Mytilus edulis: one gene and its partners. The protein of the gene in region 2 purifies or fractionates together with the protein of the main gene of each other region. This does not show direct contact. Links are inferred from orthologs where the notes say so. Each region holds a gene or a part of one and is shown on either strand. Other genes may lie near its edges.

The links.
Region 1: the proteins of ATP-dependent RNA helicase A-like (region 2) and interleukin enhancer-binding factor 2 homolog fractionate together in Homo sapiens (co-fractionation; 5 studies listed by BioGRID and IntAct, with this or other methods). This does not show direct contact. The link is inferred for Mytilus edulis from reciprocal best matches to the Homo sapiens genes DHX9 and ILF2.
Region 3: the proteins of ATP-dependent RNA helicase A-like (region 2) and endoribonuclease Dicer-like purify together in Homo sapiens (co-immunoprecipitation; 3 studies listed by BioGRID and IntAct, with this or other methods). This does not show direct contact. The link is inferred for Mytilus edulis from reciprocal best matches to the Homo sapiens genes DHX9 and DICER1.
Region 4: the proteins of ATP-dependent RNA helicase A-like (region 2) and nuclear RNA export factor 1-like purify together in Homo sapiens (co-immunoprecipitation; 4 studies listed by BioGRID and IntAct, with this or other methods). This does not show direct contact. The link is inferred for Mytilus edulis from reciprocal best matches to the Homo sapiens genes DHX9 and NXF1.

The regions. Positions count from the first base shown.
Region 1 is NC_092354.1:77,015,014-77,022,824, forward strand, and holds the start of interleukin enhancer-binding factor 2 homolog, read left to right. Parts: upstream 1-4,801; 5' UTR 4,802-4,898; coding exon 4,899-4,903; intron 4,904-6,639; coding exon 6,640-6,705; intron 6,706-7,468; coding exon 7,469-7,511; intron 7,512-7,811. Other genes in the region: RNA guanine-N7 methyltransferase activating subunit-like, read right to left, coding at 394-590. UniProt on the Homo sapiens protein: Chromatin-interacting protein that forms a stable heterodimer with interleukin enhancer-binding factor 3/ILF3 and plays a role in several biological processes including transcription, innate immunity or cell growth.
Region 2 is NC_092345.1:50,208,120-50,215,318, reverse strand, and holds the start of ATP-dependent RNA helicase A-like, read left to right. Parts: upstream 1-4,180; 5' UTR 4,181-4,232; exon of another isoform or gene 4,233-4,284; intron 4,285-6,511; coding exon 6,512-6,622; intron 6,623-7,199. UniProt on the Homo sapiens protein: Multifunctional ATP-dependent nucleic acid helicase that unwinds DNA and RNA in a 3' to 5' direction and that plays important roles in many processes, such as DNA replication, transcriptional activation, post-transcriptional RNA regulation, mRNA translation and RNA-mediated gene silencing.
Region 3 is NC_092346.1:84,422,064-84,429,954, forward strand, and holds the start of endoribonuclease Dicer-like, read left to right. Parts: upstream 1-4,881; 5' UTR 4,882-5,017; intron 5,018-7,891. Other genes in the region: alpha-ketoglutarate-dependent dioxygenase alkB homolog 6-like, read right to left, coding at 4,776-4,802. UniProt on the Homo sapiens protein: Double-stranded RNA (dsRNA) endoribonuclease playing a central role in short dsRNA-mediated post-transcriptional gene silencing.
Region 4 is NC_092346.1:23,919,891-23,927,119, forward strand, and holds the start of nuclear RNA export factor 1-like, read left to right. Parts: upstream 1-4,219; 5' UTR 4,220-4,330; coding exon 4,331-4,382; intron 4,383-6,283; coding exon 6,284-6,409; intron 6,410-7,229.

The DNA of each region.
Region 1 (7,811 bases), on a different chromosome or scaffold from region 2:
GTTTTGTCAATAAATTATACATGTTATATGGTCCAATCAAAGTCTGTTTTAGCTAACTATACAGTATATACTTAACATGCTTAATGCTCAATTATGAAGGCTGTACAGTGATCTATAATTTCTTTAATCAGCTTCATTTGGAAAGGTGTTCATACCACCATTGTTTTTTCCCTATTAGTATTAAATTTGCACTTATTTGTATTAAAAAAATTGTGCAGAATTTTTATCTTTTTCCAACAACTGTCAAATTCAAATACCGCTTTTTGTATGCAACTGGATATGACGTACTATGATTTGGTAGTGCATTATTTTAAAGCTACTGTTGTCTCATTCATGTCATTGGCAATCATATCACATCTCTTTGGTTGAATGTAATGGAACCTAATCTGGTACCTGTTCCAGTTTCCTCTTTGCTGCCTGACAAACCAGTTTTTGATGCATGGTGGGTCAGGTAAAGGGGTTGACACTGTCTTCATGTAATCCTCATCATTCTCTGTGTATCTGTCTTTAAACATTTCCTCCAGCTCCTGGACTTTCCTCTCTATTTCTGTCATACTTGGTGATGAATCCAGGGAAGGTTCATCTGCCATTGTGTTTATATAAATGTTCTTTGGATCAATCTTACATGCTGTCTGAAATACACAAATTTAAAAAAAGTTCATTGTTTTTTTAATTTAAATTTATAAATTAAATTTCATAACTAAAAAGTAATTAATTTATAACTTAAATCATCATTTATTGTTAATATTTTGTCATGTTCATAGATGTTTGTATCTGCATTTTCAGCTATTTTAGGTGGGAGTAAGACTGGTTGATGGCTTACCATCCAGACAAATGCACAGTCCTTACAGTATCTAAAAAAAAACAACATTTTAAACATGACTATATCCTGCACAATCACAAATTTGAACTAGTCACTTAAGCTAATTGTCTGGGCATTACGCTATGTAACAAGCAAACTTAAAATGGTCAAAACACACAGACAACATCATAGCTAATCGGTAACAAATCTTTGGGCTTCTTTAAAAGAAATTTTAAAACATCATCCCAGAATATCAAAACCCACGCATATCTGGCACTAGTTCGTCTTAGCTTGAATTTTCCTGTTCAGTATGGGACACTCACACAGTTGAACAAACCTCTAAAATTGAGATTGTTCAAAGACAAGCTGCAAGAAATGTACGTCTGTAACAGGTACCATAACATTTGTAGTCCTACAGACATGATAAACTCACTAAACTGACCCACACTACAGGAAAGAAGATTATGCACAAGATTGTTCATCAAAATAGTACATCAAATCATAGCAATCCCATCTGCTATCCTCATACCATCAGACAGTATAACCTGCAAAAATCATAGTTTCACTTTCAGACATATTTCTACCAAAAAAGATACATATAAATTTTCATTTTTTCCGTACATCATTAATCAGTGGAATTATCTACCATCCATACAGTTGTTGTGACCACAGTCCACACATTCAGAGTACAGCTTACACCAACTGTTCTCCACAAATTTATTTAACTCATCATAAGCCTATGTACATAGTTTTAATCACAATTTAAAATTATTTTTACACACTCCAAATTCATTTTCAATTATTTTTGTGCTTTGTAAATATACATGTATATCATGTATATATAGGCCACGCAGCGCAAAACAGTATATAATCTTCAGATAATGAAGGACTAACGAAAATCTAAAGAAGAAGAAATATAGTAGACTTATTGCATACAGTATACATGGTATAAGAAAAACAGACCAAAAAACAAAAACTTTACTGTAACCTAATCAATGAAAATGAGGTCAAGGTCAGATGACACCTGCCAGTAATGGACATGTACCCCTAACAATCCTTCCATAAACCAAATGTACTATTGACCTATTGCTTATAGTATCTGAGATATGGACCATAATTTGCTATTGGGCTCCGTTTCCTATAACTATAGAAAAGTGATAAAATGTGAATTACTGTAAGAAAAGTTGTAACTACATCTAAAGATGCCATTATTTTTATCAACATACAAGTGTATGCTACTCTTCCCTAGAAAAAAAATTGAAATATACGAATTTCAAAGATTCTACAACCGTATTTTTGTGTCGTTTCTCACGTTATTTTTTGCTTCCGAAGAGCATAACGCGGACTGATTTATAGATAATCGTCACCGGCAAATTCGTAACTTTTGCTTTCAAATAACAAAGAACATCGACCAATAAGAATAGTGAGAAGAAAATGCCGAGAACTATAAGTATTTATGTAGCAGATGTAAGAACAGTGGCGTGATTTTTGTGTCCGATTTCGTAACGCAAATTTTAGATGATGTAATCTGCTTTGTTGTAATAGAATTCTTAAAAACAATATGCAAATATGAACTCTCGCAAGATGTTCAAACAGGTAAATCAGAGTTGATTTACATTCTTGTTTTGATCTTCGTAATAATTAAGTAAGAAAATGACGTTAGCGTTATGCGTTACATTTCACACGAAACAGAAGTCCAGTTATTTATTAAAATTGTTTTTGTCCTTAAGTTCTAATCATTTCCGGTCATACGTGAAACATGTGACTAACATGTGATAACGCCATTACGGCCGGATGTACGAAATACTAGGTCTAAACATTGTTTTTGTTTCCAACGGGATGTTAGCAAACATAATCTGTAGACTTGTTTCGTCTTGTTTAAAAGAGGAAAATACAATTGTCAAAGAGATTGCGCCGGTGGTCTGTTATTTTTCCTATGTGCATAATGTTACATACGATCCTGTGTGAAAATAAATGCCCAATGACTTGACAAAATCGATTTAATATTTGACAGACGTTAGAACACACTTCGTTTCCCGATAATGACGTGAAGAGTCCTTGGAAAAATCAATCGAAATTACGTCTCTTATCATTGTACCAATGCTCGTTGGATTGATTTAACTTCAGCAGTAAATATTACTGGATATTTTAGGTGAATAAATATAATTTAATAAAAAATACATGTTAATATACCGTTACACTTGGAATGTACAAAGTTGGCATCTTGTCACAGTTTTTAATTAATATTTTTTATTCATGTTCTGCAAACACTTATCAGAAACGCAATAAACTTGTCAAAGGAGAAGTAAACTTTTACCATGCATGACTTGAAAGGAAGTACTTTATTGATTTTAGCCCACTAAAGTAGGTTAAAATGTGGAAACCATGTAGATGGTGTACAGGTCACAAGTATCACATTGTGCCTATTTTAAAGATTTTAATTCCAAGTTAAAAGGTTTTTTCTTTACTGGATTTAAAGAATGTTACATTGCCAATGATTTGGAATAAATTGTATATAACTGGAATTTCAAAACCAAATATAAATACATTTTTTTGGCTAAAACATCAAGAAACAACGATTATGGTATCCTGTATCAATGAAGAAAATATGGAAATTCCTGAATAAATTGTACTTATTGTTTTGAAAACAAGCACATATTTAGGAGTTTTATAATACTGTTAAATTTAAGATGGATTTTAAGAAAAAGTATACGGTTCAGATTATTTTAAGCAGATTTTGCAATAAAATAAAACTAAAAAAATGCTTTCGGTTTCTTATGGTTTCCTGTCACATTTAAAAAAAACTTTAATATAACATTGAAAATAGATTTTAAATATTAACATGAAGCAAGTAACACTAGTAATGGTGTTTATTTATGCCTTTTGAATTATATTGTGCAAAATAAAGATAATAAAGATTGGTTTCCTGTTTGGTTTCCTGTCACATAAACGGTGAATCAAAATGTATTAATTTTTTCTCGAAAAACTCAATTGTTCCGTTCATACTATTCCAACACCAACACAACCCACAAAATAAAAGTTAAAATTTTAGACCTTATAAAAAAGGATACAAAAAGAAACCAAAGGCCGAATACCAAATTATGGTCCATATGGATTAGTCCAAATAATTATGACATCTTGCATGGCTTTTTTTTCATGAACGCCTTCTGTCTACAAGATAAGGACACGAAGGATACAAAACTTAACCTTGTTCACTGATCCATGAAATGAGGTCGAGGTCAAGTGAACTCTGACCGACGGGCATGAGGAGTGACGGACCTTGCAAGGTACACACATGTATACCAAATATAGTTATCCTATTAAACATAATAAGAGAGAAATTAACATAACAAAAAATCAGAGCTTTTTTTCCCTGAAGTACATGTAGTCACTAAACCATGAAAATGAGGTCAAGGACAATGGACATGTGACAGACAAAAACTTTGTAACCTACAAAAAAGTAAGGCATCTATATAGCTTATACAAAGTATGAAGCATCAATGTCTTCCACCTCCTATAAATGAAATCTTTTTAAGAGTTAGCTAACGCCATGAATGCTGCCGCCTGATGACTATTACTATGTCGAGCTTTCAGCGACAATAGGACTGTTGCTAGTACAAGTCACCAGGAAGGCGGAACAGCAAAATCAAAAATAGCCTTTCTAGACAGCATGATTTATAAATTTGGACTAGACTGTTGCCGAATTTTTTTTTATATCAGTGCCAAAACGTCCTGCATCGGTTTAACGGTTTGGTTGATGTCACAATGACGCATATGCAATATCCCTTCTCTTCATGTTCGTGCTCTGATGGGTTTACTTGACTGTTTGTTTTTCTTCCATAATCACCTAAATTTACCTTTTCTATTGTATTCTAACACCTTTTCTGCTGTTTATTGTATTCTAACACCTTTTCTGCTGTTTATTTTTTTTTAACCCACGAGTGAAAAACAACCGGAAATTGAATATGGTGTGTAAAATCGTGTTCGGACGGAGGAAGGAAGGTTTTCCGGGAAACCATGGAAAAATGTTCTTTCACGCGTGCGTTGCATTCACCAACATCCGGACGTAAACAACGTGAGCCGGCATTCAAAAACAATGAGGTTTATGTCTTTTAGTATTTGATTAAGCTGATATTTATGTACAGAAAACATTACCAATATTCGTCAGTTCTTGAAAAAAACCTTTTGGCAACAGAACAATTCGTACTGTTCTTTGCATTTTCCTTTCAACAACAACATAATTTTCAAGTCTGAGACAATCACATTTATGATCATTTGTCATGTTTGTAAATGAGAGCCAGATAATTTTACCTCTATTGTCACAGGGTAATATGGCCACTTAATCTTTGTAAATAGGGCGTTGAATATGTGACAAAATACAATGTTGCAAACCATTTATTTCACACTGAAAGTAGGGAAAAAGTTAGGTGTCCCTTATGTAGCGTGCATGCTAAAGTGTGTGAAACTCGCATTAGTACCTGTTCACCGTATATATAGTGCTAGAAAAAGTGGCGGGGTTGTATGCATAATAACTTTGTGCAGAGTAGTATATAGAATAAAGTCTTTTTCTAACTGTCCATCAATGAATGAATGTATGAATGAATGTAGTAAATATATAGTACACACAACATATAGTGTAGTACTAGTATATAACTGTTCTCTAATAAATAGCTACGGTGACACTATAATTTTTTGTAATGCACAAATGGGATTCAATTTCAGAACACCTGACACAGTAAACAACAGTAAATTACTCTTGTCTCTGAAGCGAAGTGAAGAGTATGAACATGACTGTCATTAGTCTGAGATTACTCTGACGTCCAACGGCTGTTTTGCCAGACAAGCTGAGACCGTGGGATGTCAGAGCTTGTCCCATATCAAAAAGTGGATATTTGCCCACCCAAAATAGATGTGCTGCTTTGTCACTTCTGGTGCCGACTGACAGCCTTGGAATTATATAAATCGGCCATCATTCATTTTTCATTTATTTTTTCATTTATGTAAGTTTCACCTACCTGCCAACCTTTATTTTTCCATATTTTAACAGTTTTCACAGAGACCTATCGATTTCTGAACTTTGACTAAGGTGTTACAGGGTTTCTTCAAATATATAACAACAAAAGACTATTGTTTTACCAAGATTTACACAAACTAAAATATAATTTTTTTGAAAATCTCTTTTTATTGTTGATGAAAATCACATCATAAGCATTTGTGTTAAGGTTCATGTGGACCAGTCTGTTACCCAAATTATCAAAATTTTCTATTGATAAAATTCAAATGCATTGTATGTTTCGAAAATTAAAAATTCAACTTTTTTACAGTGCATTTTTATTCGTCCCTGCATCAGATGATAAAATTAACAAACTGTCAAGTTTCACTTGATCTGGTCCACTCAGGTACACAGTTTAAATCACAAATTATTGTCAAGTATCTATTGGCTACATGTATCTCTTGTCCATGTCAATCAATTCAGTTCACTTCAATAATTACCTATGGAGAGATCTCAAAACCTCTTTCTGCCTTGTTCAAGCATTTTTTATGATAATTGACTCCTTTTAGACAAATACTCGCAAGGAATACAGATTTGATGCACCTGTATTTAATTACGTACACAAATATGTTGAAGGATATTTTTTGATTAGTGGATCTAGTTTTTAATTGTAAATTCAGATACATTTGTATTCTAAAGTTGTACATGACATACATGACAGAGTGCTGAATTTATGCAAGCAGTGTGTATGTAGAAATAAAAATTTTAGCAGGATGTTTTTTTTTTATTAATGAAGATGAAATTAAGATTGAACAATGTTAATTAAATTTGATATATATTTTAGACACATGAGAGGAAGAGGAGGACCAATGAGAGGTGGTATGATGAGGCCCATGGGACCAAGACCACCGTAAGTATACAATGGTCATTATTGAGGTACTTGTATGATACACTATATATATATAGCTAGATGTAAACTTTTTATGAAATTAATTTGAAGTACATGTGGTCCTATCTGTCAAAATCAGAATCTAAAGGTCAAGCACCTTCTACTCTAGCAAAAATCTCTTGGAAGAAAACAAGGTACCAAAATATAAACTGAAATCCATCTTTGTTTGTTACAGAGCCAAAATATAATACAATTTCACTTTTTCCACCACCCTGACTATATGGAAAGCCCACACCAGAGGTGGATACTGGAAAATCTGTGACCTTTGGTTGATATGTAGAAGAGGCCAGAAGAAATTTAAAAGTTTTGTTTAAAGTGGGAAGAATAATTATAAAAAGTATTCATTAGTTTCATCAGGAATACGGAGTGAAATTCTAGATACAGATAAAGGATTTATATTTTATTTGTCAATGAATTTACCATTCAAGACAGCAACTGAAAACAACACTCAAAAAGTGAAACCTGTCTTGATGTCAATAACGATACATTCCTAAACAAAAGACAGATGTCTAAACAATAGTTTTGTTGTACATGTATCTATTTTTAAATGCATAACTAAAACTCATGATGAAATTCAATTTTATAAGCATACATAATTGTATGTTTCAATTTGAAACAAGTGCACATATTTTTGAACATGTTTAGTTCTGAATGAATTCTTTTCAAATGAAAATATATTATTCATAAATTTACAAAGGGATAAAATATTTCTTTCTTTTTACAGATTCAGAGCCTTCATACCACATATTCCATTTGATCTAGTTCAGGTAAAGGTCCACACAATAATAAGTGACTGTTTATCATGTAGATCTATAAAAGGACTTACAAGAGAACAAAATACAGTCTTATAGATTAACATATATATATATGTCTATACAAATTACAATATTTAAACTTACTATTCTATGTAAAATGCCAATACATTTCACAACAGACAGAGTCAAAAATATGCCAATAGAAATACACTCTAGTATCAAAATAGCAGAAAGCTTTAAGATATGACAGACCACAACTTCTAATGAAGTTTTTGACTTTATAAGCACTTGAAAATTTGATAGTATATCTTT
Region 2 (7,199 bases):
ACAAAAAATAATAATACGATGCAACACTATCCTTCCAGTAAAAGCATTTTTATTTTGACTTTCTTTGCATTTTACTCAAGAGTGTGTCACTTCAATATAGCGAAATCTGGTTGGTCGCTGGAATATGCATGAATTTATTATTAACGATTTCAATCAGCCTTAATTTTTGTGTCTGCTCAAAGTAGCATGTTCTCAAATCCGATTGAACGTGTCTTTCTAATACAACACAGGGTACATATATAACGTGTTGTCGTTTTCATATGCACATGACATTTGTCACTGGACGTTTAGGTGGTACCCAACACTACAGGGAGATAACTCTGTAAAGTCAGTGATACGTTTTAATTACGTTGTGTTGTAAAGGGAATAATAAGCTTCTCGAAGATCAAAATTGGTGTTTGTCAAACTGCTATATAACCAGTTAATTTTTCTGACAAAACGGTTGGTTCAAATTTTTTGAAATTTTTATATTTCTGTTAAAGGTTCAAATTAAATACTTGTCAAAATTTTATCCAAATTAAACGAACCACATTGATTTCAGTGAAAGTGTTCGGTACCACCTTAATCCTAATTCCTCAGCATCATCCAATTGTTTTTTTTCTTGTATTACTTAATCATCTGTTGTTTACAAATCATTCTAAAGAAGTAAATGGAAAGAATCGAATGCAGCTACATTTGGTTGTATTAGAATTTAATTCATTTTATTCCGTTTAGTTCCCTTTCTACATATGTGCAGAGGAGAACTGCAGGTGTCCACATGTAAGCGTCAAGCATTTGTCACCAATATGAGTACATCGCAATCCGTTACTGTTTCAACACCCAGGGGGTTTCATGTCTTTATTCTTAAACAAATTGTTTTCTTCTCTTTTTTAGCAATGCATCACTCTCTACTGTCCTTATCTTTTATTTTGTATTCTGTATCTCCATCCAGATTCTCGTGTATACCATGAGGGTACGGATTGGGGGGTGTTGTTTATTTCTGTATTCTTTAAATAGTTTTGTTACTTTTCTCTACATTTTATTTATCTTACCCATTATTCTTTCTCTATTCTTTATATTTAGGCATCCCAATATACTGATGTTTAGTTACATTACGACGTTAATCTCTGATTTATATACTGGTTACCAATGTAGATGACAAATTGGTGTCATTCATGACAATTAAACAGAATCCACATGATATATGCGACCATTTTCGGATAAAAACAATTTTACTTTAATTTAACACTTTTTGAAACCATTTTTATCAATTTTCAATATCCATTGCCTACATTGTTATTGTTCATGTGTTTTGTTCCGTATATTTTATATTCCATTGCTCATGTTTTGTTTCCGTATATATTTTATGTTCCATTGCTCAAGTGTTGTTTCCGTATATTTTAGCCGCTTGTCTTGAGCCTACCAAATGAACACACCATAAAGTAATAAAATTATACTTTTATTGTCATTCATAACTCTTAACAGACTAATTAACAGACCGGGTTTTATACATCCGACCCATTAACAGACCAGGTTTTTAATAAAGATTGATTTATGTCACCAAAATACAGATTTTCGTGTAGATTTTTCACAAAATGATATCAATTTGGTTGACACTCATAATGCCTGTCTTTTTTCGATGTTCAAAATAGTGCATGCAAGTAAATTCAACCCAAATGTCATTTTGTGTACATTTTGTGTGTGTAAAATGTGTATAAATTTACTGATGAGTAATTTGCCTTTTCATTTTATAGATCGTACATAGAAGCTAGAAAAATAATAATTACACCACAGGATTCAGTACATTGAATAGTTTTGTCAGACATAAATATTTTTTATGATAAACATATATTTAAAAGGTTATACAATGAAACATTCTGAGTTTTCAATGATTTTCTCGATAACACCTGATTAACAGACTTTAGCCAACCCGATTAACAGACTCACTGCCGATATAGCCGCATACTCAATATAGATTAACCGACCAATCTCTCGGTTAGCCGAGTGTCGGCCGTGATACTAGCGTCGATTTTTGTTTTCCTTTTTTGTTTTCCTTTTTTTTTTTTTTTTTTTTTTTTTTAAAGTTATCGTTAGTGTTATCCAGATCATCTGCTATGATGGAAACTTGGGAACTACGCTTATAGTGTCTAAATCAGTTGACAACTTTAAAATATTTTAGTTCCAAATTTTCTGTTAAAAAGTGTGGGATTGTGAAAAAATCACCTTCATCTATTTTTTTTTACTGTATCAAGATTTTGTTCATGGGCGACTGGACTGGTATACGGGCGTTTTTCAATAAAACTGAATTTCAGACACAAAAAAAAATGGAAAATCAACTTGTTTAAAATTTTATTTCGAGAGTTATTTTGAATACCTCTATTGTAGACCTGTTTGTATATAAAAAGTGCAATCTTAAATACTCTTTAAAATGATATTATTTTCTTAATTTATGTACTGTTCCGTAGGGGACTTTTGTCCACTACGAAACTGCTTCTAAACGCACATCTTACTGCACTTTAATGTCTTCTATAGACATTCCAGTTTGTTTTACTTTATATACTAGAAAGATCTAATTTTTGTCTGAATTGGAAAACCATTTTTTATCGATAAAGATTAGACAGTACTTCACATATGAAGGTACAACTCATGTTACGTAGTGGACATTTTGATGAGTTTCGTAGTTGACAAACCCGTTTCGTAGTTGACAAAAATTTCGTAGTTCACATCAACCCTATTCTATGTTGATAAAAACATACTGAAAATTACATGAAACTAACTCTTGTTATTTGTTTTGCGCGAAATAATTGAAAAAAAGAGTAAAAAAAAGACTGCATGGTAGTGGTAGTGTCCACTGCGAAATATAGATTCCACAACTATTTCTCCACTCGAGACAGTTAAATTTTAATATTTAAAGGGCGAGGCTTGTCGAGCTTTTGAAATAATTAAAATTTAACTGTTGAGAGTAGAGAAATATCGTAATACACGAGTAATTACAGTGGTGGAATCTGTTTCTCTTATGATTTTTATCCTCCCTTTTCAAAGATTTGAGAAAAGTTGTGTACTTTTGGTGTGACGTCATCAGGCACGGTCACCTTTTTTCATTTTTTTTATTTTGACATAAATTCAGTGTAAGAATTAAGTTTCTAGGGACAACATCAAAAGACCAATGTGCATGATAAAGCAAAAACGGAATTCACATAGTTAAGTCTGTGGCTGCTGTTTTTTTTAAAACTCATGATCAAGTTCACAACAAAACTACAGTCCTAGATTACAAAAAGAAATGCAACACTAACAGAATACAGAAGGGCAATCAATGAACAAAAGACAAATAAATACATGAAATAAGAAACATTGATCCCGACAAATCAGGGCTACGTCTGAGGAAAAACAGAACTTGCTTTTTGCAAGGGACTCGCCGTGAACACAATTTGATATGGAGACAAGTGTTTGGTTTTGAAATTTCCTACATGAGGCATTTGCCTCAATGTAGTTAGGCATTTGCCTCAATGTAGTTACGGCCCAGTTAAAATAAAAGTGAGGCAAGGTTTCCTGAGACAATTTACCTCAAGTTAAATGAAACCAATTTTCAGACATTTCACATGTTTCAAGTATATTTGAATAATATTTATACTTTTATTATTAAAAAATTGGGAAGAGTTTCCCGATTTTTTTTGGGGAAAAGATGAATTTATGAAGAATCTGGTGCCATCTCATACTTTCGATTAGACCTGCTGAGTTATTTATTTTTGATTGCAAGTCAGGTATTTTATTTTCAAACTACCACAGAACAAACCATTTATTTTTGTGATTATCAAGGCCAAGTTATTTATTTTCAAAATCCTCCTGCCCCCTCCCCCCCCCCCAGAATATCAAATGGTCGTCCCCTTAATTTAAATATTAAAATTTTAATAAGATTGCAAAAGTTCAAGCTGCCGGGGCAGCGGCGAGATTAGCGATAATGTGTATTGATTATGGACTTTCCCAATTGATCTTCCTCTAAGTTCAGTATTTTTGTGATTTTACTTTTTGAAAAACGACCATATGCATGCCTCTTTTAAATTTTTAATAATTAAATATTTTTTAATCCGCATTAATATTATTATTGTTGTTGTGTTGTTGTTGTTGAGCACTTATATCCAAAGGAGTTCCAGAGAACTGATATGGGTCGACGGTTTTGATCGAATAGTGGCGAAAGGAATTTGGGTCGAATAAAGGTAGATCTGCTGAAAGAGTTGACGTCCCCGTAAACAAGAGTAGGTGCTCTGCTAAATGAAACTGCTTTACATCTAATGAAGGCATTCTAAGGTCATATGACATTGTTTGAATATGTGGTATTTAGCCGCAGTGTTTTTGTAAATATATAAATGCCAAGGAGGATGACTGGTTACAAACAGTTGTACGCATTCGTTTGCAAGAGAAAGTCTGGTTTCCCCAGTAAATTATTTTAAAACTCAAGTTTAATCTTAATATTCATCATTGATCATCGTGAATATCTTAGTTTAATAAATTATTTTATATAAAGCTTGCTAACCAGACAAAGGTAACTGCCAATCATGCTAATAACTGAATACCACAGGCACTTGTTTCTATCCATAGGAAGGTCGACTATCCATATATATAAACAGATAAATAGATGGATAGTCGACCTTCCTATGGATAGAAACAAGTGCCTGTGCTGAATACACCTCATCACTATTTCAGGGGGGTTCTGATTCCAGATTACTCTTATTGTTTTGTCAGATTCCCGTATCCCGCTTTAATAGTCTTTATGTACCGTGTAATTCTTGTTTTTTTGTAATTTCCTGTGTCCCGCTAGACTTTATTTCCCGTTTTCACAGCACAATAATTTTACTCTCAAGTGTCACGCTTACAAAAAAATGGCAATCCTGTGTCACACTTAGACCACAATGACTGAATGAGACCCACTTTCAGTATTTGGAAATATATGTGCTGGTTTACCTGAGAATAGCTCGAACTATTGACGTCATACAACAATCAATTATCAATTATCCATTGTGGCATCAGATATTTTGTATTATGATGTCAAAATTTTATGTAAACTTTTGTGATGTCCTGTAATAATGCGGACTAATAGGGATAAAGTCACATGCACTTGCCTTAAGATAAGGTGTATAAGGTACATTTGTATCTTCATTTTACACTTTGGGGTATTTAGCTGAATTTGCCCTCAGAATGACCCTAGCTGGATCTTGTCAGTCTTTAGTAAATAACCATCTGAGGTCATGCAAAAATCACTTTAATTAGGCCGTTCATGGGACATATTATGGTATACCATTAAAAATGAATTGTCTATCAGTCTGTTCGTCCTCAACTGGTTAAAAAAGTTGTATCTTGTACTGCACAGAATATATTGGAAATTAAATCTAATAAGTTGGTCACCCTCGCTTCAGTCATAAGGAAATTAAGATTACCTACTTACGAAACATAAATCATGTAAATTATTTCTAGACTGTAGCTTCCATGCAGAATTACAATGTATGATTGTGAAATTGCTTGAAACTTTAATAGCGCAGGGATACAGGCTCGCCTTAATCTTCTATCTGGTACATTTGTAAATGACATCATAAAGGTATGCAATATTTATCATGGAGGACATGACTCCAGAAATGATGTATAACTAAAAATGTCTGTAATATGTAGATGGTCTATATATTAATTATGAGTTAAATTGTGATGACCAATTTGGCTGAAACTTACTTGTAACTTGATTTGAAGTAATCATTACTAATGACAGGTGTAAATGAATTACATTAAGACCTCAAAAGTGCTACTATAGTCTCTTTAATATATTCATTTGGTATATAAGTAAGTCTGTTCAATTCGTTGCAATAAGGTGAAATGAAGGCACTTACTTGAAAAACCAAATTACTGTCCATAATCATATAGGAAACAATTGATAACCATGGATAACTGTCATTTTGTTCAACTTGGATGACATTTTTTATCAAACCTTAAGGTGTTACATTTTAATTAAGACTAATCATGCTAATGTGTGTGTCAATTTCTAATCCTTAAAATTTCCTCCAAATATTTTTTTATACTTCAAAGTTGGAAGTACTTAAAATTATGTGTCAAAATACTTTTAATTGCAATGCTGACCAATGTTTTCTTTATCCAGTATAACATGTTCAAGTCAGTTTGTTAACAAATATTATCATGATTATGTTGATGAAATGATGACTTACTGGGGGCATGGAGGAACGATTGAGTAATGCATATAATTTTCTAAAGGTTACTAACTTGTGTACACCTGATGACTACAATAACATAAATAAACAGTGCCGTGTAGTGGTGAGGGATGGGTATTGGACGAAGAATCTGCTTTATGGATATATGTCTATTTGAGTCTTTAAAAATGCTGGTATGAACAAACAATACATTTGCAAGTATATATATACATGTATACATTACATTGTACATAATCTAGCAATTATGCAGAGAACAAATTTATTACGATTATAATAAACAGTGGTATTTTTCATAGATCTATTATTTTATGATTTTTTTGTAGATGGGTGACGTTAAACAGTTTTTATATGCTTGGTGTGGGAAAAGAAAGGTCACACCATGTTATGAGTTTGGCCAGACAGGATCAAAACATAAACCAAGGTTTAAATGTGAGGTATGTCAATATTTTGGAATTTATTAATGCATGTAAAACATTACAGCTCCTTTCCTAGCTCACCTGACCTATTACATGTTTTACAGGTAAGGAGTTGGCATAATTAGTCATTTTAGTAATCATAATCAGACTTCCACAGTAATCGATCACATTGCTTTAATGACTTATTTAGAGTTTACATCTAATTTCCATTATCAGATACTAAGCAATTTACAAATGAACATTGAAAAACAGTTTGTTTAAGTAGCATCTAGTGTGAAATTTCAAGGTTCTGTGGCAGCAAAGTATTTGACATGGATTTAAAAATGATTTGAAAAATGTTGGACGATTTTTGAATCCCTGTCAGATATTTTTGCAGATACTGATATCATGGAAATGGTTGTAGTAAAAAAGTGTTAAAAATTGACAAACATATGCCTATTGTAATTGTATATAATTTGTTTACCTGAATGACGTCTTATTTATTACCCACTATAGGGTACATGCCTATCACACAGTCATCTACATTTGACCTTTCATTGCAATGCTTTGTTTTAAAATCATATGTTTGGAATTTATGTGTCCTGTAATTTAATGT
Region 3 (7,891 bases), on a different chromosome or scaffold from region 2:
GGACAAACAGACGGACGGACGAACAGACGCACAGACCAGAAAACATAATGCCCCTCTACTATCGTAGGTGGGGCATAAAAAAATGCATTATACTGTAACTTCAGAAATTATTGTGATGTTTTTATTATTGCGAAAAATGCAACAGGGTAATCATTGCAATAATTAACCAGATGCTCCGCAGGGCGCAGCTTTATACGACCGCATAGGTTGAACCCTGAACGGTTGGGGCAAGTATGGACACAACATTCAAGCTGGATTCAGCTCTAAATTTGGATTGTGATTAAATAGTTGACACAGCATAGGTTTTGGACACAGAATGAATGGGGTCTAATGAACTTAAAATATTTTTTTTGTCTTTGAGCAATCACTATGCTGTTGAATATTAATCCTCTCAAAAAAATGTTTGAAGAAATTTTCTTTTTATTTATGAAATCTGAAATGAGAAAAATAAACCCCCCCCCCCCCCACCATTTTTTTTTCACATCCCCCTTTCCCTTTTTTCAAAACTGATCTCAATTCAAATTTCTAATGGAGTTTGCAACAATAACTACTCATTTAAATACATAATAAAATATTAAAATGTAACAAAAAGTGCTTGTTATCACTGAATGGTAAAGAGTGTTTTAATTTATCAGTTGGTAGTAAAAGTGAATATACATTGTGCATTGTATAAAACAATGATTTAAGTTGATTCAACTACTATTCTGGACAAAGAAAGATAACTCCAATCAATTGAATATTTCTTGCTATTGCACAATATTGTGCAATTTGATATTTCTTGCTATTGCGCAATACTGTGCAATTGAAAATATTTGCTATTGCACAATACTGTGCAATTGAAGATTTCTTGCTATTGCACAATACTGTGCAATTGAACATTTTTTTCTATTGCACAATACTGTGCAATTGAAGATTTCTTGCTATTGCTGAATACTGTGCAATTGAAAATTTCTTGCTATTGCACAATTTTTGATATAATAATTTTGGATCCTGATTTGAACCAACTTGAAAACTGGGCCCATTATCAAAAATCTAAGTACATGATTAAATTCAGCATATCAAAAAAGCCAAAGAATTCAATTTTTATTAAAATCAAACTTAGTTTAATTTTGGACCCTTTGGTATTTAATGTAGACCAATTTGAAAACGGGACTAAAAATTAAGAATCTACATACACAGTTAGATTTGGCATATCAAAGAACCCCAATTATTCAATTTTTGATGAAATCAAACAACTTCTCTTGAACTGAATTTTAATGTGCGTATTGATATGCGTTTACTTTTCTACATTGGTTAGAGGTATAGGGGGAGGGTTGAGATCTCACAAACATGTTTAACCCCGCCGCATTTTTGCGCCTGTCCCAAGTCAGGAGCCTCTGGCCTTTGTTAGTCTTGTATTATTTTAATTTTAGTTTCTTGTGTACAATTTGGAAATTAGTTCATTATCACTGGACTAGTATATATTTGTTTAGGGGCCAGCTGAAGGACGCCTCCGGGTGCGGGAATTTCTCGCTACATTGAAGACCTGTTGGTGACCCTCTGCTGTTGTTTTTTATTTGGTCGGGTTGTTGTCTCTTTGACACATTCCCCATTTCCATTCTCAATTTAAAGTTTAATTTTGGACCCCGATTTGGACCAACTTGAAAACTGGGCCAATAATCAAAAATCTAAGTACATTTTTAGATTCAGAATATCAAAGAACCCCAAGGATTCATTTTTTGTTAAAATCAAACTAAGTTTAATTTTGGACCCTTTGGACCTTAATGTAGACCAATTGGAAAACGGGACCAAAAATTAAGAATCTACATACACAGTTAGATCCGGCATATCAAAGAACCCCAACTATTCAATTTTTGATGAAATCAAACAAAGTTCAATTTTGGACCCTTTGGGCACCTTATTCCTAAAAACCTGTTGGGACCAAAACTCCCAAAATCAAACCCAACCTTCCTTTTATGGTCATAAACCTTGTGTTTAAATTTCAAAGATTTCTATTTACTTATACTAAAGTTATGGTGCGAAAACCAAGAATAATGCTTACTTGGGCCCCTTTTTGGCCCCTAATTCCTAAACTGTTCAGACCTCAACTCCCAAAATCAATCCCAACCTTCCTTTTGTAGTCATAAACCTTGTGTTTAAATTTCATTGATTTCTATTTACTTATACTAAAGTTATTGTGCGAAAACCAAGAATAATGCTTATTTGGGCCCTTTTTGGCCCCTAATTCCTAAACTGTTTGAACTAAAACTCCCAAAATCAATCCGAACCTTCCGTTTGTGGTCATAAACCTTGTGTCAAAATTTCATAGATTTCTATTTACTTAAACTAAAGTTATAGTGCGAAAACCAAGAAAATGCTTATTTGGGCCCTTTTTGGCCCCTAATTCCTAAAATTTTGGGACCAAAACTCCCAAAATCAATCCCAACCTTCCTTTTGTGGTTATAAACCTTGTGTTAAAATTTCATAGATTTCTATTCACTTTTACTAAAGTTAGAGTGAGAAAACTAAAAGTAATCGGACGACGCAAGACGCAAGACGCAAGACGACGCAGGATGATGACGCCAACGTGATAGCAATATACGAAGAAAAAATTTTAATTTTTGCGGTCGTATAAAAATTGCATTTTGAAATTTTTTATATGAATCAAATAGGATTTTTCTGAATATCGCAAAAATTAAAATTGCATTTTGGTCTAAAATTGCAAAATCCCAATAATGAATGCACGCAATAATTTCTAAATTTACAGTAGTAAGTAAGTACAACAAATGTAAGTTAGTAAGTAATTTTTATTGAACATTGGACTTTCTGTTTCATCAGTGAACATATACAAACATGTGTTTACACATTAGAACGAAATTATATGTGTGGTTTTTATTTAAAGTGTGTTCATTAAAAGTGATTTTCATTAAATCATGATACTGACATGACTGATGAAGAACTTAAACATTTGTTAAAACAAAGAGGGGATTGTTAAGGTTTTTATTTATCACCAAGAATATGTTTTTAAACAAGAGTGCACACACTGAAATGTCTCGCCTTCTTTAATTATCTTTGATATTATGTCCTAAATATAAAGCTTTACTACAACTATCACATAAACTTAACATGATCCAAGAAAATGAGGTCAAGGTCATATAAACCAAACTAGAAATACATGTATGTACACCTTACAATCATTCAAATTCAATACACTTTTAAATATAGTTGACCTATTGCTTATAGTTTCTACGAAACAGACTTTTAAAAGCAAGAAAAATAAATATTGAGCAATGAACCATGAAGATGAGGTCAAGGTCAGATGAACCATGCCAGGCAGACATGTACAGCTTACAATTCTTCCATACAACAAATACAGTTGACCTATTACTTACAGTTTAAGAAAAACAGACCAAAACACAAAAACTTAACAATGAACACTGAAAATGAGGTCAAGGTCAAATAACACCTGCGAGACTGACATGTACATCATAAAATAGTTCCATACACCAAATATAGTTGACCTATTGCATATACATTTAGTATTAGAAAAATCAAGACCAAAACTCAAAAACTTAACTTTGACCACTGAACCATGAAAATAAGGTCAAGGTCAGATGACACCTGCTAGCTAGAAATAAACACATTACAATCATTCAATACACCAAATATAGTAGACCTATTGCATACAGTATAAGAAAAATAGACCAAAACAAAAACTTAACTATAACCACTGAACCTTAAAAATGAGGTCAAGGTCAGATGACTCTTGCCGGTTGGACATGTACACCTTACAGTCTACCCATAAATGATAAAATCGAATATATTAGACCTCTTACTTATAGTATCTGAGATATGGACTTCACCACCAAAACTTCACCTTGTTCACCGATCCATGAAATGAGGTCGAGGTGAAGTGAAAACTGTCTGACTGACATGAGGACCTTGCAAGGTATGCACATACCGAACATAGTTATCCTTTTACTCATAATAAGAGAGAAATAAACGTTACAAAAAATCGTAACTTTTTTTTTCAAGTAGTCACTGAACCATGAAAATGAGGTCAAGGACAATTCACATGTGACAGACAGAAACTCTGTAACATGAGGCATCTATATACAAAGTATGAAGCATCCAGGTCTTCCACCTTCTAAAATATAAAGCTTTTAAGAAGTTAGCTACCGCTGCTGCCGTAGTAGCCTCCGCCGCCTGATCACTATCCCTAAGTCAAGCTTTCTGCCATAAAAGTCGTAGGCTTGACAAAAATGTGATACTGTTAAAACAACAAATAATCAACTATATTAGACCACTATCCAGGTCGTTGTATTTCCGCAAAAAAAAAACCATTGCCAGTTTGGTTTAGGTGAACATCATTCATGTGTTCAAGGGCATTATCCCTTCCTTCCCATATTGAGGGAGCATTTGAAAAAAAATGATATAATGCTGTATTGGACTTTTGCATTTATTCAGCAAATTAAATAAATTCTAGTAATTGATACTCTGGCTGAGAACTGAAATTATAGTCGATATTTTGTTGTTTTAACATTATCCAATTTTTATTTAGACAGTATAGCTAAATTTTTATTTTTTAATTTTTTTAATTAAATTTTTAATTTTTTATTTAATGTCAATGCCAAATATTATGGCAATGGCAAAATTTTGACTTTATGATAAAAAAAAATCCCTCAAAATTGAAACCTTTTTTTATTTTATGTTTAGAAATTAAGATCAAAACCTTATTTTTTAAGAAACATCAAGTAGCTGGCCTGTGGCTAAATTATCAAAAAATAGATAATTACTTCTGTCACAAGATTCTTTGTATCCATCTCCTCAGTGGGTTTTGGCTGTTAGAATTTCTGTAAATATGATAAGTCAAGGATTTTCATTGGCTTATTTTAGAAATCTGTCCAATTAAAATCACTCTTTCACTTTGACGATTTTCCGGCAAATGAAGAAACAAATGTGAAAACATTTCAAAAATAAGCATCTGCAATTTATGATTGTGATGCGGACGTAGGCGCATTCCCATCACTATATAAAGGTCTTTATAAGAAAATATGTATTTTCTTTTTTTTGGCAAAATTTAAACATTGCATGCAGTAAATAATTTAAGAAAAAAAAGAAAAAAATGCCCCCCCCCTTTTTTATCCAAATATTGGTTTTATGATTATCCAGATCATTAAACAACAAAAATTATTAGAAATTTAAGATTAGGATACTACCTAAGAAATTACTCAAACAAAATCAATTTAAATATAGATCCCAAGTGTGAATGGGGTCAATTACTGAATTACTTCAATTAGAAACTGGGGGACATTATTTACTATTTTGTGAAAATTATGAAGAGGCTAGACAGAAACAGAAAACTTATACATGAGATTTTCTTTAACACGGATCGTTTCATTTTGATTTAGAACTTTTATTGTTAACCCTTTCAACGCTACACAAAAAAATAGAAAAATGGCTGCTGCTGCTGCATTTTTTTTTAGTACATTCATTAGAACAGTATTTTCCTTTTCAGACTGCTGTATCTTTTTTATTATATGAGATACAGAGAAAGTTATTGCATGAAAAATGCTCAGGAGAGCATGAACTGTAATGTTAGGCAATTATTTTACTGAAATTTTTATCAGGTTACCTGCGTTTTCAGGTAATTAACAGGTAAAAGGTGTAATTTATTACATTTGTGTTGAATTTTGAATAAAAACTACTTTTAGTCTTCATTTATTTTGTTGTTTTATCTGCCATATTGTAAAGAAGACACCAGTTGCCCGATTCCGTAGCGTATTGTACCATACATAACGTTTTATGTAATCGTGGCACAAATAAATAGCTCCGTCCTAAAAAATTTCAGTCAACCTCCGTTTCCCCCCCTTTTTCTACGTCTCGTAATGATCTATCAAATCATATTTCCCACACGAATTTTATGTAATAAACACAATGAGATAACAAGAAACCTTTTAACTAATCCTCGTTGTAAGTTTCGCCAAGGAAATGCTGAAATTTTTCCATATTTACAGCTTCGTTTCCGATTTCCGCCATTTGCATTTGTCAAAATATTTGTTTTTATTTTCCTTCTATTTTCCTTCTACTGCATGATTTTACTATAAAAATTGTCGGGATTTCAAGCGCAAATGAGACCTTGCATATCCTAGATTCAAACGAGGAAAAATTAGAGAGAACCCGAATGAAAACCGAATGGTTTAAGAGTCCTTATGAAAAATCCTTTTTCATCGCGGCATATGCCGCGAATAGCAGTGGCGAACGGCGTACGTCATCGCGGCATATGCCGTGTATAGCGTTGAAAGGGTTAATAGAAAAAAAACAACAACTACTCCGTCTCTAATGAAACACTAATATCAGTCATGCGATTATAGGGTGACTTTATTTGTGAGATGCGCTGTTTTGATAAAGAAACATTTTTGTCGAGCCTTCGACTTTAGTCGAAAAAGCGAGACATAGCGATCCTTCATTCCGTCAGCGTCGTCGTCGTCATCGGCGGCGTCCACATATATTCACTCTGTGGTTAAAGTTTTTGAAATTTTAATAACTTTCTTAAACTATCCTTGAATTGTATGAAACTTGGACAGAAGCTTGTTTATGTTCATAAGATAGTACCCAGAAGTAAATTTTGTAAAAATAAAATTCCATTTTTTCCGTATTTTACTTATAAATGGACTTAGTTTTTTCTGCCAAACATTACATTCACTCTGTTAATGTCTGTGGTTAAAGTTTTAAAATTTTTAATAACTTTCTTAAACTATCCTGGAAATGTACAAAACTTGGCCAGAAGCTTGTTTATGATCAGGATATAGTATCCAGAAGTAAATTTTGTAAAAATAAAATTCCATTTTTTCCGTATTTTTCTTATAAATGGACTTAGTTTTTTCTGCCAGGAAACATTAAATTCACTCTGGTTAAAGTTTTTAAAATTTTAATAACTTTCTTAAACTATCCTGGAATTGTAAGAAACTTGGCCAGAAGCTTGTTTATGATCAGAAGATAGTATCCAGAAGTAAATTTTGTAAAAATAAAATTCCCTTTTTCCCGTATTTTACTTATAGATGGACTTAGTTTTAAACATTTTTAAGTTTCTTAAACTAGCCTGGATTTTTACCAAACTTGGATAGAAGCTTCTGACAATCAAAAGATAGTATTGAGAGGAATAATTTTATTGATTTTTTTCATCATTTTTGATGAGTGTGTGATTAACAGCAAAAGTAGGCGAGACACTGGGTTCCGCGGAATTGTCTTTTTATGTTAAATATATTTTTTTAGCAAACAAGCTTTTGATTTACCTAAACACTTAAATTATTTAATAGTACTTTATTATATTAGATAAATGATAAACTGTCAATTGTATACTTTTATCATATTCAGAAAATACCATACCTGCCAACCCTCCCGTTTTGAGCGGGAGACTCCCACTCAGATGGCGAAAATCGGGAAATCTCCCGCTTGCCGATACCCTCCCGCTGTCATAGCTGTGGGAGATAGATCTCCCTCTTTGAAAGTTTAAGAGGTTGGCAGGTATGGAAAATACTATTGTTAATAAAATTTTCAATGCTTCAATGTTCTAGAACTCCTACATGTATAATGACAAAACTAAAGATATTTGTACAGAATTTATGATAGTCATATATCTTTTCAGTTGTTGTTATAAATAGTTGTTTAAACAAAGAATTTATAATCAGTGCTTGCAAAATAACAGGAATCTTTTAAACTTAGTTTATGAAAGTTTCTTTCATGTACACAATGAATCAAAGACATTCTTTAATCATTGAAAGGGGAAGACATCTTTATATTCCAAGAAAAAATACTTAAAGGTACTGTCCAATCTGTAGTATTCCTTCATTCTCTACTGTACATAATAGTGGAATCGACGTCCAAATCTGACGTTACATTCTCAAATCAA
Region 4 (7,229 bases), on a different chromosome or scaffold from region 2:
GTCAGAGTTTTTACCATTTTGACATATTGTTTTTAAATGTTAACAACGACGACCGTAAGAGCATACGATACAGTTTTGATTCCATATTGAAATTTTGATGAACATTTGCATATAGGCTATTTTTTGCCTGATTAAATCAAATATGTAATAAAAAAAAATGTATACCTTCATGTATTACTTTTTGAGTAAAATAAGGTCCAAATTTTATATTCGGATTTGTGGACGTATTTATCCTTTCGACAGAAATACATAACCTTTTAGTTTTAAAGGATAAACACAAGCTGTTTTTTGTTAAATCATTTGTAAATTCTGTTTTATATAAATGTCCTTTAATTTTGTGCAATTTGTTTTTCAAATAACTCATATTTATTAAATGTTCACGAATGTAGAAAAAAACGTCTACTTTGGCTGCATATTTATCAAATTTAAAAAAAAATGCACTATTTACGTTTACATGAAAATTGGCACACATAATCTTCTTACGTAATCAAACCAAATGGCATTTTAAAAAAGAGGCGTCCAAGAACTCGTTTACAAGTTAGATAAGATTGAATGATAAAAATCAGTCGAAAACTAAATCTTTTCTCGATAAGTCATAGTTTGACGTCTCGAAAATAACAATTTACGTTAGCAACGTCATCCCCCCCCCCCCCCCCCCCCCCCCTGGTAACTGTATCGTTTGCCCTTAGCTGATTGATGGTTGGTTGTTTAAGTATTGCTTTTAATTATATACTATGTAACAAAATTGTTGATAGAACATAAAAAACAAGATATAGTAAGATTGCCACTGTGAAAAAACTCTACACAAGAGACCAAATGACACATAGATAACAATTAAACTATAGGTAACATTACGGCGTTCAACAATGAACAAAACCCATATGATAGAATGTCTGTATGATTTCATTTTATTTCCTCTAGTGAAAGTCTTATCTGATAACAATAAACCTTATATTACTCTGGAAGCAGTGTCGCACCTCTACTTTCCTTTTAAAGAAAAGGTATTTAGAATACTCAGATAGAGTATGACAAAAAGAGTATGAATCAAATATAATGATATTAACGTGCTTATTAGTAATTTCTGAATTGTGGACGCTATTCTAAATATCTTTTTTAAAATAATAACACATATTATGCATCGTAACATTACCTTCATTTCAATCCTTGTTAAAAAAAAAATTGCCTTGAGAAAATGCTTCGACATTTTTACTGGATGATGCTAAATTTGAATTTGAATACCGACCAGAATCATAAACTCAGAAAGACAGCATTATGAGTTGGATACAAGGCGAAGTTTGCATCTAAACTCATATTACTGTAAACCATTAAAAAAGTTCATGCATAAAAAATCTAATCACTTGATGACGAAACGTATCAAAATACCATGGTGTAGTACTTCGCAAATTAAAAGATATGTTTGCATGATCAAATTCAGAACACTATACATGTTTTAGTACATGGTACCATTATATTTCAGTACCGTTGAGATGCAACCTCCTTGCCAACTATTACTAAAGTGGAATGTTGTATTCTCGAATGATTGTCAGACCGTAGTAATATATAACGCCTTTTTTTCACAACAACATTTTATCTTATAAAAGCTGCTTATCATCTTCCCAGTACTAATATCATCTATATCTGGATATAATCTTCGGAATAATTACCGTTTCAATGGGATCATTTAATTAGTACGCTAGAACGTACAAACAATTTCATTTTTTCCGAATACAATATAGCAATGGAATGTCACCCATGAATCAAAACTCTGCAAACTGAGAGGAGTATCTGACATTCTGGGGAGTAGGATTTTTCTAGATTGGTCTTTACATTCATCTGTTGCTACATGCATATAATGCTTATTTTTCCAGCGGCTTTTGTATACGCCTGTATTTTGTGTTGCACAATATTTATTTTCATCATATCTAAAGTTGTGCAAAACTATTTATTTTCAGTTCTAACAAGTTATTTTCAAAATCCTCACCCCCTGGTAAAATGAATTGATCGTCCCCTCATGTCATACCTTTCTTTCAAGCGAAGAACATCGGAATGGGAATCTGTATCTGTATGGGTAAAGTATGGGTATGCATGGGCTTTATTACTTAGGGGTGCGGATACCGCAAATCATGAGTCCTGAGTGCAGCTATATATATATTGCTTGAAGCTTTTGGTTGACTTGACTGCAGTCACATTGCTATATAAAAGATTGTTCCAGCTAGTCGACAGCAGTTCTGATGAAACATGAGCTTTTAAATTGGTGGTTTGATGGATCTTTACTGTTTGTGTTGATGCGGGATTTAACATCTTTCCACAATTTAGTCTTGGATTTTTTGGGGGTTTGTTTTGGCATCTTTTAGTTTTGGATAATGTAGAAGTCGGCATCAATGATACCTGACCATCAACCACCCTGTAGATAATTATTTACCTGTCATTTTTGTGATGCATCCATCATCTCTTGATTTGTAGTCATTATTGATAAAACGCGCCGCCCTTCTTTTTACAATTTATAGCTGGTCATAATTATGCAGATTGCTCCATATTTCAAAATCTAACTAGGGATTTGCATTTGTTTTCCGTCGTTCTTTTAAGCAATGTTGTAAATCAAAAAATCAAAAATGTTAAAGATAAAGAATATGTTTGTCTTGACATAAAACTGCTTATATTTCTTTTAGATATTTAAAAAATACATGATAGCCGATATAAAAGATCATTATGCCGGGGAAATACTTTACTTTACCTTTGCATTCCATCATCGCAAATCAAACTTGTGACCCTTAAGTGCCATAGCGTTATGGACGATGAACGACTCAAGGCGATTAAAAATCTTTGATCAAAGAGAAACATATAAAGTTAAGGCGTTAGACATGACAGTCTTCATCAGAAAAAAACCTTCAGCATAACTTCGGAATAACATCTCAATGTCATCCGCTGTACACTTGTCTCCTTATGGTGAAATTTTGTAATGTTAGCCTTAGCTTGTATCTTCCGATGAGTTTTATTCACTTATTTGGCTTTATTACTTTTTTTTATCTGAGCGTCACTGCTGAGTCTTATCATGTAGACGAAACGCACGTTTGGTGCATTAAATTATAAGTCTGGTAACTTTGATAACTTTTAGCATGTACTATTGTATTGTTTATTTGTAACGTATATTTCTGCGTTCTAAATGATCTAAGATATAGGAAGATGTGGTATGAGTGCAAATGAGACAACTCTCCATCCAAGTAACAATTTATAAAAGTAAATCATTATAGGTCAAGGTACGGCCTTCAACATGGAGCCTTGACTCACACCAAACAGCAGCTATAAAGGGCCTCAAAAATTACTAGTATATAACCATTAATGAAATATTTTCCATTTCAATTCAATATTTATTGGAAAGAGCACAATAGAGGCGTGATCCAAATACAGACAATAGCATTATTAAAACAACATATAAATGAAATATAGATGCATGTAACAACAAGTTGTAATTTAAGTAAATTCTATGGGTACCATAACATTCTAAGTATATTATATGAATACCATTACATTTTAAACTGATATTGATACCATACACATCCCGATTATTCAAAATTTTCATAATTTTACTTTAATAATCACACAATCACCAGGGGCGGATGCAGGAATTTTCGAAAGGGGGGGTGCTAACCTAGGGCACCCAGGGCAAAGGGGGGGGGGGTGCAAAACATATGTCCTGATACAAATGCATTGATCGGCAAAAATAAAGGGGGGGTGCGCACCCCCGGACCCCCCCCCTTGGATCCGCCACTGATCACCTATAAAAGATAAATGTGTAAATGCATAAACTACTATAAAGGATAATTATTATTTTCTGATGAAACAGTATGGTGGTTTCTCAAATTAAGAGCTTCATTAATGTACATACAATTAGATTTTAGTTCTTTTTCAGACATAGGACTTTTCAAATATATTTTAATAATTCGGATATAAATATATTAGACCATGAATTTTCTCTTTTTGTGAGAGTTTTGTCCACTTCAAAAGCAGCCTTGAGAATTTCACCAGACCTTTCACCAATATCACTGAGACGCACATAGTATTTATACACAAGTTGATAACATTTAATGCTTATGGGTAATGTGACCATTTCGCATCGAACTGCTAGATTGGAAGACTTTCCATGAACCCCAAGTATGTTTTTAAATATGGAGTTTTTTCTAAAATATTTAAGATACGGAATTAAATCCGTCATTGCGTCAAGTTTATTGATTCTACGCATCAATCAATGACGTAAACAGCAAGCACATTTTCTAACCATACGGCAATTTTTTCCTAGGACTGCTAAAAAAGAAACTGAAACAGATTAATTATGAGCCAGTTTAAAGTTACCACAAGTCGTGATGGCAGACGTGTATTTGGAGGTTTTTATTATTATCTAGCTAAATATCTTTGACTTTCAAGGCCAATGGTTTTATAATTATACACGGTTAAAAGAATTTGTGCACATATTTTCAGAAAACATTGTTTGGGCACAGGGGCTTGTTTAGTGGCCTGTGGTTTGGGTTATGCTTATGGTTAGGGACATTATTATATATTTCGATTAAATATGTTAACTTATAGACTGTGTCCATATCGGGGACTTTATATGTATAACGTAACGGTACCCAAATTGCACCGAGTACCCAAATTGCACCTATAATAATTTTAGCAAAACTAGCAGCGAAAATCTTACAAGATTTTCTAGAGACTAAACAATTTGTTTTTTTTATGATTTGATACTAAGCACATCTTTCAACATAGGTAAAACTATTTAGATATGCACAAAACGTTCACAGTATCTATCAACAGATGAAGTATTTACTGAAAAAGCAAAATGTACTGAAACGTCGCGTCATCAAAACGTCATCTTTTTAAAATGAACAAATACAATATGTTACAAGTATCCATTTAAAAAATAATGAAGAGTAAGCTTGGACTAATGTCCAATTGTTCAAAATATTTAAAGAAATTAAACAAAAGCTCTGTTATTAGACTTTTGACTATGTGAATTAAAGCATGGAAGCAATTTGGGTACTCCTCATTTCAGAATCATTGATGGTTTGGAGGTCAGTTTAGACCAATTTTTCTATGATTCCATATGGAATAAAAATCAAATTGGTGTACCTTTATAATAAAGAAAGATAGGGCTACAAAATAAACACAGAATGGACATTTTTGTTTTCATGATAAAAAAACGTAGATGAAAAAACTGTCAAAATAGGTGCAATTTGGGTACCGTCACGTTATATGTAAAAGGTATCATGAAGTGTAGTCATCCATGTAGAGTGTAAAGGGCCTTTAACTTAATTAAAGTACTCAGTAGTGAAATGTACATCTTCGCTAGCCAAGGGTTACGATCCACTCTCGCTCTCTGGAGTGGATCGTAACCCTTGGCTAGCGAAGATGTGAAATGTAGTGCCAGCGTCTATTAGAATAAAAATAATTTACCCCAGAGCTCCAGATAAGCTGCGTATTTGCGTGATCACGCAATACAAATAATTAAAAACCAATGCAATTGCCCATTGCAGGGGATAATATAGTTATCAATGTGCTGATGGATTGTCGTATGATGTAGATATAGTTCTTAAACCCAATTCATCCAAAGGAAAACCCAATTATATGCGAAAACCTTGAGTTCTTCACACTTTTATTCGTTTTCGTATGCGTTATTTACCCTGAGCTGATTACAGTCGTCTGCGTAAATCTATTTTTATAATATTTATAATTTGAAATATCCTTTCGTTCTAAAAATAGAGCGTTGTGCATCAAGTAGTGCCTGTTGGAATTTTCCGTTGCTCAAATGGTACACATGTTTATGAAAACATTTCAATCTTCTTGGCATTTATCCAATTAGCGTTTGTCATGTTGTCATATTCTTTCTGGAATTGCTCAGGATTTATCAAGTTAATGTCCGGTAAAATGAATAAAAGCATGTTTTCATCTTCTTTTTGATAGCTGAGGGAAAGTTATGATGATAACAAGACTCAGCTAGTGTTTTTAGGAAACTGTCATTCAAATGCACGGTCGTGTTTGCGTACCTTAACAATCCGATAAACCGGGGGTTATGTCGAGAACATTCAGATGTAGGTCTACATAATATTTGATATATTTTATCATGTTTATATCAAATCTATTAAAATTGAAAAAAAATCCATTTAACTGGTTAGCATTTTTGGGTATTTGATATTCGGTCCTAGACAACACTATGCTGAATAGAATGTACTCAAAGCAATGGAGGCTGGAAGTGGGACTTCTGATATAACTTTGATATTTTGTTATTTAGACCACGATGACCGATGGACAGACAATGGCAGAGGAGGTCATGGTGGTGGACAAAGATCTTTTGGAAAACGAGGTGGAAGGAAGAATTATGGGGGCTTTAATAGAGGAAGTGGTTACAACAGAGGTGGTATGTTGTCTTTAATTTTAACATTGGTGAAATTTTAATATTCCAAGAATGAAGTTTTATAAGATTTGTTACCCTTATGTACATGTATCAAGACTTCTAATTATGATTTCAAGTTTGTTTTGATTATTTGTATGCCCCACCTACGATAGTAGAGGGGCATTATGTTTTCTGGTCTGTATGTCAATTGGTCCTGCTTCAGGTTAAAGCTTTTGGTCAAGGTAGTTTTTGATGAAGTTGAAGTCCAATCAACTTGAAACTTAGGCCTTAAAAAAAAAGATATGTGTTTCCGATAACATCATTTTAAAAAATAGGGTCGGTAGGTCGGAATTCTTTTTTTTTTTTTGTTTTTTTTTTTTTTTTGACATCGTAAATGAAATCCGGAAAATTATCATGGTTTTTCCAAGTCCAGATCCGTAATTAGTTTCAAAAACCGGAAGTGTGCCATTTGCAATGTTTTTGAAGCACCTGTTGTGCAAATTTCTTGGATTTTAACCTATTTGGAATACCTTTTGACATTAATAAAATGTTTTACTGGCTTTCTATGCAAGAGGAAGCAAGAGAGAAAAAATATTATGTCATCTATCAGAAGCCTGTGTCAAAAACAGGGTCGGTTGATAAATTTTTTTTTTTTTTTTTGGAAGATCCAATAAAAAAGTTAGGGTCGGGGCTAAAAAACAGGGTCGGTCGGGTTACCGGAAACACAGGTCTTTTTTTTCTCGGCCTTAGTACACATAGATATAGGAAGATGTGGTGTGAGTGCCAATGAGACAACTCTCCATCCAAATAACAATTTAAAACACATGTTCCTTATGATATGATC